Oryctolagus cuniculus: one gene and its partners. The protein of the gene in region 2 interacts with the protein of the main gene of each other region in a biochemical or structural test. Links are inferred from orthologs where the notes say so. Each region holds a gene or a part of one and is shown on either strand. Other genes may lie near its edges.

Evidence for each region.
Region 1: of the proteins of CCND1 (region 2) and CRYAB, one has a biochemical effect on the other in vitro, tested with the Homo sapiens proteins (2 studies listed by BioGRID, with this or other methods). The link is inferred for Oryctolagus cuniculus from reciprocal best matches to the Homo sapiens genes CCND1 and CRYAB.
Region 3: the proteins of CCND1 (region 2) and CDK6 form a complex in vitro, tested with the Homo sapiens proteins (3 studies listed by BioGRID and IntAct, with this or other methods). The link is inferred for Oryctolagus cuniculus from reciprocal best matches to the Homo sapiens genes CCND1 and CDK6.

What each region holds. Positions count from the first base shown.
Region 1 is NC_091432.1:103,864,739-103,868,481, reverse strand, and holds the start of CRYAB (alpha-crystallin B chain), read left to right. Parts: upstream 1-829; 5' UTR 830-849; coding exon 850-1,050; intron 1,051-2,148; coding exon 2,149-2,271; intron 2,272-3,578; coding exon 3,579-3,743. UniProt on the Homo sapiens protein: May contribute to the transparency and refractive index of the lens. Has chaperone-like activity, preventing aggregation of various proteins under a wide range of stress conditions.
Region 2 is NC_091432.1:3,247,327-3,251,069, reverse strand, and holds the start of CCND1 (G1/S-specific cyclin-D1), read left to right. Parts: upstream 1-1,162; 5' UTR 1,163-1,310; coding exon 1,311-1,508; intron 1,509-2,717; coding exon 2,718-2,933; intron 2,934-3,401; coding exon 3,402-3,561; intron 3,562-3,743. UniProt on the Homo sapiens protein: Regulatory component of the cyclin D1-CDK4 (DC) complex that phosphorylates and inhibits members of the retinoblastoma (RB) protein family including RB1 and regulates the cell-cycle during G(1)/S transition.
Region 3 is NC_091447.1:42,948,170-42,951,912, reverse strand, and holds the start of CDK6 (cyclin-dependent kinase 6), read right to left. Parts: upstream 2,634-3,743; coding exon 2,401-2,633; intron 355-2,400; exon of another isoform or gene 1-354. UniProt on the Homo sapiens protein: Serine/threonine-protein kinase involved in the control of the cell cycle and differentiation; promotes G1/S transition. Phosphorylates pRB/RB1 and NPM1.

The DNA of each region.
Region 1 (3,743 bases), about 100 Mb from region 2:
ATACACCCTTCAGCTGTCGCAGAGGACCAGAGAAGACAGCTGGGGGTCCTGGTTCAGAGGGAGCTGGGGAGGGGTGCTGGTGCTGGAGGCTCAGGAGAGGCCAGGCCGAGCCCCTCCCTAAACAGTCAGAACATTTCCACACTCCCTTTTACTCCTCAGTTGCAGGACTGTGCCCCCTGCTTCATAAAGAACTTTGGATTTCATGTCCTGCAAGCCACATACAATCAAAGAGGCAAGAAACTTTTCTGCCTTTTTTAGGGAGATTGGGGTGCATCTGCCCAGATTAATGTCAGGGTCCTCTCCTAAGCCCTCGTCAACCCAGGGTGCCACGCAGATGCCTGGTAGTGACATGCTGGTGGTCACTCTCCTCCAAGGACCTACAAAGAGTTAATGTCCCTGGGGCCCAGCCTAGGAAGATTCCAGTTCCTGCCCAGGCCCAAGATAGTTGCTGGCCAGATGCCCCTGGCATGCAAGACTGGAGAGGAGGAGGAGGGGCACACCACGCGCCTGCTTGGGATTCCTGACTGTGTCCCAGCTTCAGAGAACAGGGGAAGGGGGTGGGTGCCTTTGGGTGTGGACGGAAAGCCAGTGAAACAAGACCATGGCAAGTCACTGGCCAGCTCAGACGTGTTTGTGTTTCTCTTTTCTTAGCTCAGTGAGTACTGGGTATGTGTCACACTGCCAAATCCCCGATCACAAGTCTCCATGAACCAGCGGTGAGCTAGGATAATAAAACCCCTGACATCACCATTCCAGAAGCTTCAGAAGACTGCATATATAAGGGGCTGGCTGTAGCTGCGGCTGAAGGAGCTGACCCGCCAGCTGACCCCCGACACTCACCTAGCCACCATGGACATCGCTATCCACCACCCCTGGATCCGCCGCCCCTTCTTTCCTTTTCACTCGCCCAGCCGCCTCTTTGACCAGTTCTTCGGAGAGCACCTGTTGGAGTCTGATCTCTTCCCAACTTCTACTTCCCTGAGCCCCTTCTATCTTCGGCCACCCTCATTCCTGCGGGCACCCAGCTGGATTGACACTGGACTCTCAGAGGTGAGTCTCCTCTGCTTGAAACCTCCTTGAAACTCCCCTATTCATTTTCCTTTCCTTCCTTGCCTAAAAACCACTTTAGGCTCATGTGTGTCCATAAGTGAAGAAAAATGAGGTTACTGCCTCCCTCCTCTGGGCACCTGTTTCTGTTTGATACTTCTCTGTATCTTACTACATTTTCCCCTGAGCTGTGCATCCCTGATGCTCTCTCCTCTAACTTCTAAGCAAGATACCCGTTCCTGGTTTGGTTCAGAAAGATTTGAAGAGAAGGGAACTGCCTTCTAACGCTTTGCTCACCTCTTCTAATAATAGTTTGTACTCCTGAGAGACTTTATCATCTCAAGTTTCAGAGTCCTACCTCATCCTGAGCTTTTCATCCTCACTAGGGGGAACTGGCAACAACAACCACTATTTTTTCCTTTCCATTCCCTCTTTTTATTTATTTATTTTTGTTTTATTAAACGAATACAACTTCATGCAGTTAATATACGCAGATTTGAGATCTGTTCCCTCTTGTATGATTTTCCAAGTTCCTTGGGGTTCTGACAGAGCACTGGCCTGGGTCCAAGCCTTATGAGGGAAGAATAGGACCAGTCTTAGGACCCTCTCGCTTGTCCTAAGAGGGTGGGAGAATGCGGTGACTAGATAAGGTTGACAGGCACTGTCAAAGATAACACTGCGGTTTAAAAATATTCGAGTGTGGGTAAACAGGAGCTGAGTGGGCAAGGGCTTTGGAAGGGCAAGCAGAACATTCCAGATTGTATGGGTGGGACACTTGGCAGAGAACTGAGCAAGAAGAAGGGGCCTTTGTCTCATAGACAAATGACAAAGCAAGGCATTGGGGTCAAAGAGGCAGCAGAAGCCATGCCCAGACCCATCTTGTGATTGGTTCCCTGGGTGATCTTTCCTTATAAATAAAGTTTGGAATTGATGACTGATAGGCATGCCTTGGGTACCACTGTGGTATATTTAGCAGAAAAGAGGAGGATAAAATAGCTGTATAGAAAGCAAGTCTACAAAATGACGATACTGTACCAGTGTAATCAACATGCCTGTCACCTTTTCTCCCACCTCCCCCTTCCCTCATCTTGCTATTTCTAGATGCGCCTGGAGAAGGACAGGTTCTCTGTCAACCTGGATGTGAAGCACTTCTCCCCAGAGGAGCTCAAGGTCAAAGTGTTGGGTGATGTGATTGAGGTGCACGGCAAACATGAAGAGCGCCAGGTATGTAGCCTGCTTTTCCTTCTGCTCATTCATTCAGTGCATGTTGTCTACTGAATGATGCCAGACACTGCCATCAGCTTTTGAGGCTGGCGACATTCCTGTCCCAAAAAAATGAGCCTCTGAATCAGGGATAGCAAATCAATGGCTAGAAACTAAATTAGGGACTGAGCTGTTATTATTATTGCTGTTGTTGGCCAAAGCAGGGACCATGATTGTTTGTTTTGATTTGATTGGCTTAGATGGGATAAATTGGATGTTTGCTCCCCATTTAAGCCAGTGATTCTCAACCTTGGCCACATTAGAATCACTAGGAGAATGTTCACAAATCCAAATTCTCAGCTATGCCCTGAACGATTAAATAAAAATTTTTAGAGATAGGATGTAGGCAATACCATTTTTTTTTTTTCACTTCTAAAGACGATTGTAATCTACAGTCAAGCTGAAGGGCACTCATCTAAGTAGTTTTGTCAGACAACAAGTTGCTTTATGTAATTACATTAGCTACATATACCCTGAAGGCACTTGAATCCATAACTTTTCTTTTAGATGGTCCACTTCTCTTCAGGCTATCTTAATGCTACACTACTTGGTTTTCTGATGTTTCAAAGTTGTACTTGGTTCCCAATCTCTCGTAGTCCATGTGGAAATCAGTTAAATTGAGAGCCTTTTTGGAAAAATGCTGGAGATTGGGCAGGCATACAGGTCAGGGTCAGTTACTTTTACGAAATTCTGATGAATGGAACATATTCTCATGTCTTTGAACAGGTTTAATATCATTTCTCAACAATTAGTGATAATCCAAGGCTTCTGCATCAACTAATACAATTTAGCTTAATACAATCAGGTTGTTTCAGTTTTGCTCATATGACTTAAGTTTGGGTCACAGTCTCCCTGAATGGATGAAGTCACTTTTTTTTTCCCCTTAGGAGCAATCTTATTAGTCTGGAACATTCTGGGAATTGTTGAAGGGTCAGGACAATTTCTGGGCTCCTTCAGGGACTCAGTTGCCAGGACAAGATTCCAAATCCTATAGGCTCAGCCAAACTTTTGAAAAATATCCTTACACATCTATGCTTCAGGGTTAAAGTTCTGGTCTGTTTCAGACTCCTCACACTCTTATGGGTAGAAGTTACCACCTGGGCAACTTCATCTTTGCCCAAAACCTGAAATGAACTGCCCTTTATTTTTTCTCATGTTGTCAGTGGCCTTTAGACACACGTAAGGGTAATGGGGATGTCGGAGTTATAAGCAAGTGGGATTATTTCTTGTTCTTATATCTCTGCCTCTTTCCTCTTTTCTTGGATTAGGATGAACATGGTTTCATCTCCAGGGAGTTCCACAGGAAATACCGGATCCCAGCTGATGTGGACCCTCTCACCATTACTTCATCCCTGTCATCTGATGGGGTCCTCACTGTGAATGGACCAAGGAAGCAAGCCCCTGGCCCAGAGCGCACCATTCCCATAACCCGT
Region 2 (3,743 bases):
GGGCCCCGCGCCGCCAGCCTGCGCGCGCCCACCCGAGCCCCGCCGGGCTGCGCGCGGGGCCCCGCGCACGGCCGCATGCTCGCCCGCGCCGCCGCCGCGTTGCGATTTTATGAATGAAACGGCGGCCGGCGCGGCCCGCGCCCATCCCCCCGGGGCCACCCCGAAGTCCCGGGGCTTCTCCAGTTAAGGAAAGCGCTGTTAAAAATAAAGAAAAAAAGTTTTAAAAAAGTCAAGAATGGGCAAAGTGTCCATTTAGCTTTTTAAAAAACTCAAAGAGCCCAATGGACAGACTACGCTCACTGCGTGATGCATTCTGCCCTGCGGGACCGGGGCCACGCACGCCCGGTTTCTGCTTCAAAATAGCCCGACGCGTGACTCCTCGTGGCGCCGACTCCTCGCTGTCGCCCACGGAGGCGGCCCCAGGGTAAACTCCGAGCCCCCCCACCCCGGTCGCCCTGGGCCCCCAGAACCGATGCGGGCGCGCCCGGGGGTCGCACGTAGTCCCCGGCATCAGCGACTCCCGTGCCCAGCGATTTTTTTATTATTTTTTTAATTTAAAAAAACTGGGGGGTGGGGGGCGGTTAGCAGCACCCGCATCGTGGCTTGGCCGCCTCGCAGTGGCCGCACGTGTGCTGGGCGCGAGGTGTGCGGGGGGACCCCCGCGAGGCCGGGCGGGTGCGGACACGAGGCGGCCCCGGGCGCCAGGGGCGGGACGGAGGCAGCGCCGGCCACCATTTTGGGCGGCTGCCTGTATTTTAACTATCCGAGCGAACGCGTGAGGGGCCACAGTCCCCTTGCCGCGCGCGGGGCTCGCCCCACGGGCGTGGGCCCCGACCCCCCGCACCAGCGCCGCCCCGCGTCCCCGCCAGCGCGCGGGGCCCCGATTCTACACGTGTTCCTGAAAATGAAAGGGGATGCGAGCGCCTCCCGGGGGTGCCCTCGTGGCGCTGCCCCCTCCACGCGGGTGGCCGCCCGCCCCACCCCGCCGGTCTCGGGGGCCACCCCCGCCCCCGCCCTGCGCCCCGCTTCCCCGGCGGGCGGCGGGGTGCGATTTGCATGTCTATGAGCACTCGGCTCCGGGACGGCTCCCGGGCTCGGCCCCTCGCGCGCCCGCCCCCGCGCGCGCCCCGCCCCCCGCCCCCATTCTCTGCCCGGCTTTGATCTCCGCTGAACAGCGGTCGCGTCACTCGGGCTGCTGGGGAGTTTTGTGGAAGTTGCAAAGTCCCGGCGCCTGCACAGCGCTGTCGGCGCGGCAGCGGACGGGCGGCCGGAGCCCAGCGCGCACCCAGCACCCCGCCGCCGGGCCGGCCATGGAGCACCAGCTCCTGTGCTCCGAGGTGGAGGCCGTGCGCCGCGCCTACCCCGACGCCAACCTGCTCAACGACCGGGTGCTGCGCGCCATGCTCAAGGCGGAGGAGACCTGCGCGCCCTCCGTGTCCTACTTCAAGTGCGTGCAGAAGGAGATCCTGCCGTCCATGCGCAAGATCGTGGCCACCTGGATGCTGGAGGTGCCGGCCGCGCCGCTGCTACGGAATCCGTGTTTTCCGAATAAATAACCCCGAGAGCGGGCAACTTCCGACCCGGGCAGGGGCGCGTGGGGGCTGGGGCGGCCCGGAGCGCGCCCCTCTGCAGGCGCAGGGGGAGGGGCGGCGCCGGGGGCCACCGCGGCGGGTGCGGGGTGCAGCCCGGGCGCCCTGCGCGGGCCCGGGGGGAGGGGGCGCGGGTCGGATCTTTAGGTGAATGCCCACGGACACGTATGCAAGTGCCGCTCGTGCCAGTGTTACGCGCCATCTTTGCTCTTTTATTGCAAAGCTAACGCGTTTATTAATCATTGGGGGCGGGGAGCGGCCGGCGGGGCGCGGAGGGACCGCCGCGAGGGTCCGCACGGCCGCCCGGAGCCTGCGGGAGGGGCGCGGGGCCGCGGCGCGGGCCGCTCCGAGGGACCCGGCTCGGGAATCCGGGGAGCCCCTTTGTCCCCGCGGCGGGCGCCGGGACACCCCACATGGGCGGCGTGGGCCACGCGGCGCGCCGGGCTGCAAGGTCGCGTGGCCCCCGAGGCGCCGGGGGGCTCGGCTCCGGGGGTCGTCCCGGGGCGGGCCGGGGGCCTGGGGCGCGTGCTCAGGCCCGAGGGGCGCGCGGGCGTCTTTGAGCCGCTTCTCGCAGCTCGGCGCAGTGCCCTTGCGCCCGAGGCGAAGGGGGGGGTCCCCGAGTTTGAGTTCCTGGGGCTCCCCCCGGGGCCTGCCGCGGGCTCCCGGCCCCCGGCCCAGGTAGAGCACCGCCCGAGGGTCATTTTCAGGGGTCTTCTGCGCGCCCAGTTATTTTTTTAATATTTTTAAATATTTTTTGAAAAGATGACGTCTGGGGAAATGCGGCGCGGCGGCCTGGGACGCCACCTTTGTGTCTCGCGGGCGCGGGGCGAGCGCTGCGCCGGGCCACCGCGGCCCCAGGCCCCCGGCCCCCTGCCCGCCCCCAGCCCCCGAACCCCAGCGGGTGCCGGCCCCGGATACCCCGCGCGGGCCGGGGTCCTGGGGGTCGTGCGTCCGCGCCGGTCGCGCGGGGACTTTCCCTTTCAGTTTCGGGGTGGGTGGGCCCCAGGCACGCGCGTGGCGGCGAGCGCACCCCGGGAAGCCCTCGCCGGCCCCTGGCCCGGCGCCCTCGGGCACGGAGACCCTGGCGCGGGGCGCGGGCGGCGGTCACGGCCCCGCGTCTTCCCGCAGGTCTGCGAGGAGCAGAAGTGCGAGGAGGAGGTCTTCCCGCTGGCCATGAACTACCTGGACCGCTTCCTGTCGCTGGAGCCCCTGAAGAAGAGCCGCCTGCAGCTTCTGGGGGCCACCTGCATGTTCGTGGCCTCCAAGATGAAAGAGACCATCCCGCTGACCGCCGAAAAGCTGTGCATTTACACCGACAACTCCATCCGGCCGGACGAGCTGCTGGTACCCGGGGGGCGCCCTGCGGGCCGCGGGATCCCCGCTGGGCGGGCGCGGGGAGGAGAGGCGCGGGCGGCCGGGCCGGGGCCGGGGCCGGGGCTGGGGGCGGCCCTCGCCGGCGCCCGCCGCTCGCGGTCCGCGGCTCCCACCAAGTTTTCGCCCGGCAGCGGCGTGGCCGGGCAAGCGTGGGCGGCGCGCGCCCCCTAGCGGCGCGAGCCCGGACGGCCTTCGGGCTCCAGGTGGCGGAAGGTGGCCTTTTTTTGTCCTTGCCTGCACAAGGTCGCCTCGCGGTCGCCTCCTCCCGTCTGGATCAGGGACCGTGTGCGGGTTCCTCTCCCCCACCGCGCCCCGCATTCCCTGGGCGCGCCCCTCCCTGTTCCGCCCTCCTCCCCAGGGCCCCCCCCAACCCGCGGAGGGCAGACCCCTGCGCGTGCGGCTCCTGACGCGCGCTGCGCCTTTCGCCCGCTCCCGCAGCAAATGGAACTGCTCCTGGTGAACAAGCTCAAGTGGAACCTGGCCGCGATGACCCCCCACGACTTCATCGAGCACTTCCTCTCCAAAATGCCGGAAGCCGAAGAGAACAAGCAGATCATCCGCAAGCACGCGCAGACCTTCGTCGCCCTGTGCGCCACAGGTGGGGCGCCCCGGCCAGGGCCTCGCGCCCCACCACCGCGCGCCGCCCAGGGGAGGTGGCCCCGGGGTCTCCCCGCCTGCCTGCTCTCCCAGCCTGCCTGGGGGCGGGGGGGGGCCTCTTCCAGCGACGGCCCCCTGTGCTGCGCTGGGCGCGCCTGGCAGCCGTGACCACTGCGTGCCCAG
Region 3 (3,743 bases), on a different chromosome or scaffold from region 2:
ACTGCCGTCACCTGTCCTTGATTTCCTGACTCTGCCTGAACAGAGTAGCCACCTCTGAAATCCGTTACTGCTCAGTGTGCTCAGTGTGGCGATCATGGGAGCCAGTGGTCGTCCCAAGGCAGCGGTGGAAGAAGAAACAGGAAGGAAATGAAACAGGAAGAGAGATCTGTAGCTCGTGAGGGTGACATCATCAATAATTTCCTCAAGTGTCACTGAGCTTCATGGCATATGACTGACAGCCTTTGTGGACAAACTACAGGCTCACTGTACTCAAGTAGCCCCTGTGGCTCCGAAGCCTGTAATCTAAGGGTATGAATATGATTTGTTCTTGGAAAAAAAAATAAAAAGGCCAGGTGCACTGATGCCTGCTGGGAACCTGTTCTGGGCAAGCGCGTCCCACTAATCTTCAGGAACACAATGTGTAGACACCTGAAGTGCTTCTAGATGCACAAAGTGTTTTCACACATGGCGTCTCACTTGACCCTCACCAACTACCAACTCCAAGGGGTGGGTGGCACCGCACCGCTCAACAGGCAAAGACAGTCTTAGAAAAAGGTGTCTTCTGATTCGTTAAGTAAATCCTCCTGACATTTGCAGTGCAGAATCTCAGTTGTGGCTCAGTGAGAGATCTCTGAAGACACACCAGCCTCAGCAGGTTTCACCCCGCGGGTGGGACGGAGGGGCCCCAGCGCGGCAGCACGGGGCGCGAGCTCTCCTCCGTCAGGAGAGCGAGTCCTGCCTCGTTAACAACAGTGGTAGTACCACCAGCGTGCCTCTGTAACACCCCCATGCTGGAAGGTCAGATGTGGCAGCTGCCTGGGATGGGACAAAACCAGAAATCTTGGTCTCAAAATTCTACTGGTGAAGTCACCCTTTGGAAGGGCTTAGGCGACACCCTAGGGAAAGTACTAAGTTAGAGGGAGCTAACTGTCCCCTCTACGCCCACTCTGATACCAACAAACACACCCTCCAGGGGTATTTTGTTTTTTTGTTTGTTTGTTTGTTTAGTTTTTTCAAAAACACGGAGAAAAGGTAACCTGTCGCTTTAATATGTAAGCCCACCTCCCAAAACACTCTCCCAGTCTCTTTATCTTCGACCTCCACCCTTGACAAGCTGATGGAGAGGTATAATGGAGTCCTATCTTTACAGTCATTTACTACCTTATTTATGTATTTATGATTCTCTGCTGCCTTCCAGCCTGAGTCTTCACTGTCTTGGGAACAAAACACTACACCAATCACCCAGCCTAGGGTAAGAAGAGGCAGGTCAGAACCTCCCACGGAGACTGCAGGCACCCGGTCTCCCTGAGCCTGTCCAGGGTTTGGTATTTCAGGTCATTCTCGGGTCGCTCCGTTTTGATGAGTAATGTTAAACTGTTTGACTTTTCACAAAAATATTTAGCCATGCTTATTTACATCACTTCATCCGCAGCGCACGCAGCAGGCACGTAAGTGTTGAGCACAATGCCTCGCGGAAGGAGGGTCTGGGACCTCCTTCTCCCAACGCGTGAGGAGTCCACAACCCGCTCTGCCTCCGTGCATGCCTTTGTGACCTGAAGCCATGCAGCTCCTCTGTTTAAAAACAAGATGACACAAACGCACACACAGTCAACTGCGCAAAGGGGCGATTCCAGGATCACCAAGAACCCACCATTCCCCTAAGTCTCACTCACACACACACACACAGTTTCATTTAATATCTTTAATACCGGTCACAGCACAGCAGAGACTTCAGGGACTGACTGCGTACCCCACTCCTGCCAGTCACCCAGGAAAAGCAAGGACAAAGAGCACTGAGAATCTAAAGCCACCACACCTTGGACACCCATCCCTTGGCAGCGGTGGTCCAGGGGCTATGCCAGCCCAGAGAGAAGTGGCACGGACAAGAAGGATGACAGCTCTGGGACGATGCTGTCTGCCACTGGGCGACTCCCCGGATCATCAGTAAGCCATTCTCATTGTGCAACTTTAATACAGAGAAACTGGGTGTGATTAGCAAACATATTCTTATCCGTTTCTGCATTTTTAAAGACCTCATTTGTGCAAGGCTCCACCCTAGAAGTTTTCTCCTCGCTTATCACACGGACAACCTGCTCCCTCTCCTTTGCAGTCGCAAGAAAGAAAGAGAGAGAGAGAGAGAGAGAGAGAGAGAGAGAGAGAAAGAGAAAGAAAGAAAGAAAGAAAGAAAGAAAGAAAGAAAGAAAGAAAGAAAGAAAGAAAGAAAGAAAGATCCCCCGAAGCCGGGAAACGCAAGCAGCAGTGGTCTCAGGTCTGTTGGTTCTGCCCCCAAGGCCTCCCCCGCAAGGCCCTCGGGGCGGTCGGGGAGAAAACACCGGCGGCACGGCGCCGGCGAAGCCCGCACCTCCCCGGGCCCCCGACGGCGCGGACCCCAGGGCTCACCTGACCACGTTGGGGTGCTCGAAGGTCTCCAGGTGCCTCAGCACCGCCACCTCGCGGATGGTGGAGAGCGGCATGCCTTCCTCGCCCGTCTGCACCCGCACGCGCTTCAGCGCTACGAACCGGCCTCCGTTCTTGAGGTCGCGGGCCTTGAACACCTTCCCGTAGGCGCCCTCCCCGATCTCCGCCACGCACTCGTACTGCTGGTCGGCGCGGCTCAGGCCGTCCTTCTCCATGCCGCCTGCACGCCGCGGCTCCCCGGAGCTCGGTCCCGCTCTCCTCGGCCCCGCCGGCTCCGGCGCGGGCTGGCGCAACCCTGGTGCCGCCGCGGCGAAACTCCGCCTGCCGAGCCGCCGGGGAGCGAGCCGAGCCCTCCTCTTCCCTCCCCGAAGCGAAGTCCTCCGCACCGACACCGAGGCGATCACATAGTCTCCACCCGAGCGCGTCTCGGTCCGGGGTCTTTGCGACTGAAACGGGGGACAGGAGAGAGGACGACAAGTCAGACCGCCCGGGAGCCTTCCTCGGGGTTCCTGCAGCCTCCCCTCCTCCACGGCGCCCCCACGCGCGCCCGGCCCTCTCCCGCGCCGCCCAAGCCTGCCTGGCTCCTCCCGAGCAAAGCGAGGTCACTTTCTCTCCCCGCAGGGCTGCAGCCGTCTGCGCGCGGCGAGGCTGCAGGGGCCCCTCGGGGATGAGCGCGCCGCGCGGGACGCAGGGCAACGGGAGGGGGCGTGCCGAGCGGCCCGGAGTGTGCCGGGAGCGCGGGGGAGGGGAGGCGCCGGGCGCGTCAATGTCACGGCTCCGCGCGGATCCCTCGCGCGCCGCGCCGCCCGGGGGCCTGGACGCGGGTGGGGGCTCCCGGGACCCCGGAGCCCGCGGCCGGGCAGGGTGCGAGAAGGGGTCGTCACGCATCTGCTCGGAAATTGCTTCCTTTCTTTTTCTACTTTCAGTTTTTCTAAGGGGGAGACCTTTAAAGACGCGGCGCACACGTACGTGGTCTCGCCGGGGGCCGAGGCGCCTCGGCCGGGAACGCAATCCTGCCTCCGACTCCGAGGGACCTCCCTGGTGGAAACCCCGGGAGAATCAGCCATCTGGTCGGGGCGGGCTGGGCTGCGCCGGGGTGGGCGAGCCGGAGGCCCTGGAAGGGGCAGCCCCACGTGGGATGCCGAGGGTGGGGGCGAGGGGCGTCCGCCTCCGGGACTCAGCGCGGGGAGGAAGACACCAGGACCGCCGACTCGCCCCGAAGTTTCCAGCCCAGGTCAACCTGAGCCGAACGCTACCTCCCCAGAGGGTGGTGGGGGCGGGGGGCGTCGACGCTGCGCCTCCCGGGCCGAGGGGGAAGGGGCTGC